Macaca fascicularis: one gene and its partner. The protein of the gene in region 1 purifies or fractionates together with the protein of each later gene. This does not show direct contact. Links are inferred from orthologs where the notes say so. Each region holds a gene or a part of one and is shown on either strand. Other genes may lie near its edges.

The links. The genes of interacting proteins can lie anywhere in the genome.
Region 2: the proteins of RAB7A (region 1) and ARL8B purify together in Homo sapiens (affinity purification with mass spectrometry; 4 studies listed by BioGRID and IntAct, with this or other methods). This does not show direct contact. The link is inferred for Macaca fascicularis from reciprocal best matches to the Homo sapiens genes RAB7A and ARL8B.

What each region holds. Positions count from the first base shown.
Region 1 is NC_088376.1:154,694,909-154,698,563, reverse strand, and holds the start of RAB7A (ras-related protein Rab-7a), read left to right. Parts: upstream 1-849; 5' UTR 850-1,052; intron 1,053-3,655.
Region 2 is NC_088376.1:143,386,335-143,389,985, reverse strand, and holds part of ARL8B (ADP-ribosylation factor-like protein 8B), read right to left. Parts: intron 3,026-3,651; coding exon 2,952-3,025; intron 2,216-2,951; coding exon 2,122-2,215; intron 860-2,121; coding exon 792-859; intron 537-791; coding exon 466-536; intron 1-465. UniProt on the Homo sapiens protein: Small GTPase which cycles between active GTP-bound and inactive GDP-bound states.

The DNA of each region.
Region 1 (3,655 bases):
CCCCACTCCTGCCCTGCTCAGGTCTAACTACTTACTTACTGTAACAATTGCAAGGTTTTTGGATGGAACAATTGAAAGAATGGAGTTTGCATGAACCAAATAAGAAAAGACTATTAGAGGGCATTGTTAAAGATGGAGACAAAAGTTCTGAGTGGATCCTGATGTGTTCAGATGGGGCTGGTGCTTGGGAGGCTGCTCTGTGCTTACAAGAAGAGTTCTACCAGGTCCATCTTTATCACATCTTCTTTAATACTAAGTTCAGAGAGGCTTTAGCTCATTTTCCATTTTCTCGTGCTGTCTCCTCTGCCAAAGTGTCTATTTCTCCTGTCTCTATTACTGAGTCACACAATTGCTGTAGTCATTTGCAGTCTACTAGAACGATAACACACATTGGCATCAGACAGACCTTGGTTCAAAACCCGGCTCCACCAGTTTCTGTGTTGAGCTAGACCAAGTGACCTGATATGTTCGGTCTCAGTTCCTTATTTGTAAAATGGTGATAATAATTTTTGGTTAGGTAGTTAAAGTAAGGATAAATGATGCCTTCCGAAGAAGGACACAATTGGAATGGCCAGTTTACCCCTTGACCTCTCTTCGGTGGCATTCTTTATTCTGGAGCAAGGAGGGATGGCTGAGGGAATCTGTCTGTGGGTCCAACATGGCGCCGTCCTGCTCCTTGTACAAGCCTCAAAGATGGGGACAACCGTTTGGGAGCAGACATGTTTGTAGCACGTGATCCAGGCTCTGTCCCAAGGCAGCCGGAACGTGACTCAAGGTTGAGGCGGGGCTCCTCCTCCGCACCCCGGCGTCGAGCGTCTCGTGACAGGTACTTCCGCTCGGGGCGGCGGCGGTGGCGGAAGTGGGAGCGGGCCTGGAGTCTTGGCCATAAAGCCTGAGGCGGCGGCAGCGGCGGAGTTGGCGGCTTGGAGAGCTCAGCAGAGTTCCCTGGAACCAGAACTTGGACCTCCCCTCTTCTGTCCTCCGTTGAGTCTCCTCCTCGGCGGGAGCCCTCGCGACGCGCCCGGCCCAGAGCCCCCAGCGCAGAGGCCGCGGTAAGCAGCGGGCCCAGCCCGGCCGGCGGCCTGGCCCCATCCCCCTCCTCAACTCCTCGGTCGCCAGGGCCTCGCGTCCTCCCTGTCCTCCTGGCAGGCTCCAGGCCCAGCCCTGGCCTCGCGGGCAAACTCGGCATCGCTCAGGCCCACGAAGCAGGCCAGGACCCCACCCGGGTTGGAGAGGTCGGAGGTCGTCGGGCGTGACCTCTGGCCGGGTTGCCGGCCCCGGCCGCCGGTCTCGGACGCTCTGTTTACTGTTGGCGTCGATCTCAGAGACCCAAGAGGGTTCATTGACTTGGACTGCCCTGCGCCGCGGCAGGACGCGCTAGGCGGTGGAGTTATTTAGCGTGGCGAGCAGGAGGGTGTCAGAGCCCACGCCGCCCGCCGCCGTGCCCACCTGGCGGGCATGGGTCACAGGCGCTGGGGGCCGAGCCGCGTTCCCATCCGGCTCTTCAGTTGAACAGCCTGACCCTGTTAGTGGGAGAGGTTCCCTGACGGCAACTGAGTCAAGGCGTGAGTCAGGTCACGTGCGCTGGGATCGCCTCAACACTTGTGTACATTGAGGCGCCTCTGGCGCTGGAAGACAGGGAGCTTTTTGTCCTAGGCATGTTACGGTAAATCCTGAGAGAAGTTTTTCAACTTAGTCGGGGAAAGATGGTAGTTGGATGTAGAGTTGTGTTTCCATTCGGACCGTGTTGGGGGCCTCTTTCTGCATTCATTTTACGCTTGATACCTAATGGGTCATAAGGGGAATATTGAGAATACTGACAGCAAATATTTGAGCGTTTGTTATATGCTAGGCAGCGTGGCAAGACCTTTTAACAGATCATTATGTTTAGTTCTTTGAACAACCCTCTAAAGTACCACTGTTGTGCCCACTTAACACAGTGGGAAATTGAACAGAGAGGCTAAACCATTTGACCAAGGTCACACAGCTAAGTTACGAAGCAAAGATGCAAGCCCAGGCAGTCAGACTCCAGAGCACTTTATTCAATTTGTAGGTTATACTGCTTTCACGTGCCCCTGAAGCGTGTGGTTTATCTTTTGCCACCTGGTATCTGTACCTCACTGCCTTCCACCACCTCCTTTCTTTCTGTTGATGTCGTTTGAAAGTCTTTCTGGTAGCATCAGTTCTCTCTTAAAGCCATAAGAAATGCCGTTTGCGGCTTATCACACATATTGTAGTGTAGTTGAATTAGGAGCTCTTGAATACTGGCGGGGTACTTAACTGAGGTTTGAAAAATTTTGCAGGTAGGCCTGGCAAAGCTGCCTAGCGAACCTTTCTTACAACCTTAGTTGATGGCTGTCCAGCCAGTTGGTTCTTCCCTATTCAAAATACTGCATCTTTGGTTTCCTAAAGAACAGGCTCTTGTCTCTTTCTTGTGACTTAAGCAGCTGATGAGGCACATGATTTCTCATCCATGGATTAATAAAGTCTCCTCTTAGTGTGTTTCTTTCTTCAAACCTGGGAAGGTTTGTTCAGATTTGGATTTAAGAACTGGAAGGTGAGTTAGGAGTGCTTCTCCTGAAGGGACTGGCTAAGTTAAAGCTTAGCGTTCACAATCCTGTTGTATTCAAATTTGTCTTTTTTATTTTTTTTTTAACTTTGCTACCCAGCCTAAAATATTTAAGTGAGTAATAAGTACTGTAGCTTTATATAATGTTTGAGTTTAGAGGAGAGTAATGATAGGCACCTTTTTATTCATTCATGAAGTATTTTGAGTATCCATTGAGTATCAGCAATGTATCAGGCGTTGTGGGATGTTGACTTAGGGAGATAGGCATGGTTCCTGTCCTCAGGGAATTTTTAAAAGGTGAATGATCTTGGCCAGAAATTCTATTGTGGAATGATTTGGTGGTAGAACTTGAGGCTTTTTGGAAAGAGTTATTTCTCATTTCTGCTGATGAATCCGTAGTAATCCAAAGGATGGTGTTCTGGCTAACTTTAAGGCTTTGTTAATTTTAACAACAGCATTTGTATGCTCTTCAGAGAGTGTAGAAGATAATATTACAGTTTCTAATTTATCACATCTTTTAAAGAGTAACCTTCAACACTCAACTTGTTTCTCCTTTTGCTCTGGTGGCATTTGTTTTATTTTATTTATTTTTTGACACGGAGTTTCTCTCTTGTTGCCCAGGCTGGAGTGCAATAGCGCGATCTCAGCTCACTGCAACCTCTGCCTCCCAGGTTCAAGCCATTCTCCTGCCTCAGCCTCCCGAGTGGCTGGGATTACAGGCATGTGCCACCATGCCCGGCTAATTTTGTATTTTTAATAGAGACAGGGTTTCTCCATGTTGGTCAGGCTGGTCTCGAACTCCCTACCTCAGGTGATCTGCCTGCCTTGGCCTCCCAAAGTACTGGGATTACAGGCATGAGCCACTGCGTCCGGCCGACTCTAGTGGCATTTTTTTGGTTCACTCGAGAGGTAGTCCATGTCACTACCATTACCTTGCACTGCAGTGTCTTTGAGCAAAGGTACATTTGGACATTTGGCATACTGGATTTTTTTCTTCAGCTGGCAAGAAAGTTTAATGTAGCACTGATATTGTGTCGGCCATAGTTTCAGTACCATTCTACATAGAAAAGCTGTGCTACCCTATCT
Region 2 (3,651 bases), about 11 Mb from region 1:
CTCCCAGCTACTAAGGAGGCTGAGGCACAAGAATCACTTGAACCCGGGAGGCAGAGGTTGCAGTAAGCCGAGATCACGCCACTGTACTCCAGCCAGGGTGAAGGAGTGAGACTGTCTCAAAAAAATATATATATATAATATATGTTATATATAGTATATTTTATATATAAATATATATAACATATTACATATATTATATATTAGATATATTTTATATATATTTATATGAGAGAGAGAGACAGAGAGATAAAACTGCAATTTCCAAGAAGCCATCAATAATGTAAAGTGAAGATTCACTATATTTGTTGTCAAAAGGTATAACATCTATTCTTTTTTCTCAAGCAAAAGCAACAGTATTCTGTAAAGGAAGTCACTTAATAAGAAATCGAGATAATAAGCTGTAAGAAGCACAGACATTCCTTCCAATGATACCCATTTCTTCCAAAATTACCAGTCATTTCTTACCTATATTATCCTTTTCTTTGCAAGAAATTGAATAGCAGCAAATTTCTCTATCCTGAATAGCAGACAGATTCCTATGAGAAGAAGAGGATAAGTTTGTGCTTAGAACAGCTGTCATACTTATCACTTTGTTCAATTTTACTCATTACTTTTATTACTATACTGAAGAAATCATTGTAGCAATCCTAAAATGTTAGGATTCACTTCTCTGATAGGCTAAAATTTATCTATCTAAAAAATATGGCTATGATCATTAGGAATAACATAACAAGTGGGCAAAATATGGTAATTTAGAAGCAAATTATTAAAATAGCATATTCAAGACATACATTTTTTCAATTAGCTGTTTCTCATCCAAGGCATTAGGAAGATCTCTCTTGTTTCCAAGCACTAGCACCTTTAAAAAGAAAAGATATTAAGAGCACACTTTTATGTAAGAAAAAGTCACAGAAGTTTATCATCTTGATATGTGAAGACATAAAATTAAGATGTTAACACATTCCACAATATTAAGGCATTTTGTGGTGGCCTATCTCATTCATTTCATTGCTCATACTGGTATTCGCTTAACTCCTACAATGGAAGTGCCCTTAATTCAGTGTGTGGTTGCCAACTTCTATCTAAAATATTCTGAGTCTATGCTATGCATTCTGCTATTCTTTTTTTTATTATTATTATTTTGAGACGGAGTCTCGCTCTGTCATCCAAGCCAGAGTGCAGTGGCGTCATCTCGGCTCACTACAAGCTCCACCTCCCAGGTTCATGTCATTCTCCTGCCTCAGCCTCCCGAGTAGCTGAGACTACAGGCACCTGCCACCACACCTGGCTAATTTTTTGTGGTAGAGACGGGGTTTCACCGTGTTAGCCAGGATGGTCTCGATCTCCTGACCTCATGACCCGCCCATCTCGGCCTCCCAAAGTGCTGGGATTACAAGCGTGAGCCACCGCGCCCAGCCACATTCTGCTATTCTTAATACAGGTTTAGTACGCCTTATCCAAAATACCTGGGACCAGAAGTGTTTCGAATTTTGGAATTTTTTTTGGATTTGCATTATATACTTACTGGTTGAGCATTCCTAATCCAAATGCAAATTCCTAAATGTATTCTAGAGATTGGCCTCTTCTCAGTTTCCCACTTCCTCCCACCCAAAGGCCTTTACCTGGAACTCTCTTCTCCTCCAGCTGTCATATACCTCACATTCGTATGTATCCCTCAGATCTCAGCTCAAGCATTACTTCCTCGTGAATCCCTCCTTCCTCCTGCAAACTAGATCAAATCTCCCCTCTAAATTACAACTCTCATAGCCCCTTGCACCTTTCTTCCTAGCACTTAAAGCTGCATTATTCAGAGTATCTACCTTTCCCACTAAACCATAAGGTCCATGACGGCAAGGAGTATGTTTCTACTGATTTCTGTTCATCACTCTATCTCTGGGCCTAAGCACTGCTCCTGATGCACAGTAGTTTAGTAGATATCTGGTTACGAGATTCATACTTACCACAATGCCCAGTATATGGCAGATACACGGTAAACAAGTCTTCCAGATTTTAAAAAAGAAGATGTTACTGATTTCAAACATAATTAATATCATTGTATAATTACCATAATGAATATCATTATATAATTACAATGTAAAATAACAAGTATTCCGTACTTACTGGAATTCCTTGTAACTGTGGTTTATCTAGAAGATTATGTAGCTCATTTCGGGAAGCTTCTATCTTTTCACGATCTGCAGCATCTATCATGTAACTTAAAAAAATGAAGTGATCTCAACATACCTTCTCCATATGACTTGATGACGACAACTGGTATTACTGATTTTTAATTTTCGTAAGATTTACATTATTGAAATTGTTAACCAAAATAAACTATGTCCTAAAGAAAGGCTCAGCACTCTTTAATACTTTTTAACTAGACTGTTTTTAGAGACTAATACATGATAGTAAAACATGTATACCCCTTAGCTCTTGGCTCCATAAACAAAAAACATAAAGATCTTATTCTATGATTAATTTTTTTAAATCCCATGTTAATGGACTTGCACTAGGATATTAGCTAAGAAAGACTTTCATTTTCAAGATAAAAATTGAGCCTCCTAGGCCGGGCATGGTGGCTCAAGCCTGTAATCCCAGCACTTTGGGAGGCCGAGACGGGCGGATCACGAGGTCAGGAGATCGAGACCATCCTGGCTAACACAGTGAAACCCCGTCTCTACTAAAAATACAAAAACTTAGCCGGGCGAGGTGGCAGGCGCCTGTAGTCCCAGCTACTCGGGAGGCTGAGGCAGGAGAATGGCGTGAACCCGGGAGGCGGAGCTTGCAGTGAGCTGAGATCCGGCCACTGCACTCCAGCCTGGGTGACAGAGCGAGACTCCGTCTCAAAAAAAAAAAAAAAAAATTGAGCCTCCAGAAATACTAAAATAAACTTTCTTCTTTGATGCCTAAATTGATTTAAAAGCAAACAAACAAACAAAAAAACCACTTACACAATAGCATTGACTCCTCTGCAATACCGCTCCCACATGCTTCGAAATCGGGGTTGTCCTCCTATGTCCCATATCTTTAAACCAAAACAAGGCAATTCTTAATAAAGATATTTTAAATAAATGATTGAAAGAGGAAGTAACAGAAAATGAAAAAGATCAGGAAGATACACTTATTTCTACAACGTTAAGAGGCAAAGTGCTCCTGAAAAACTTGACTTCAAACAAGCTCTTAATATGGGAATTCTTGGGGCCACTTCCAAACTTGAAGTCCATATTTAATACATTTACAATACATCTAAAAGTTTGCTTGAGCAAAGATTTGGTTTATGTGCAACAGTTTGCCTGTTAACTAATATACTTCTATTACTGAAAACATGTCTTTATAACAATTTAAAAGTTACAGGACCATGCACCATCCAGATTTGAATGCTAAGACACAAAACAGCAATTCAGAATCTATTAAAGCTTAATTGTCTGATTTGTTCTACATTAATGCCTAACCTTTTTAAATTATCCTGTAAATAAGTAGCCAACATTTCCACATAGGTGTTTTTCTTATATAAAATTATTTTGGTTGGGCGTGGTGGCTCACGCCTGTAATTCCAGCACTTTGGGAGGCCGAGGCAGGTGGATCACTTGAGGTCAGGGTTCGAGACCAGCCCAGCCAACATGGTGAAACCTCATCTCTACTAAAAATACA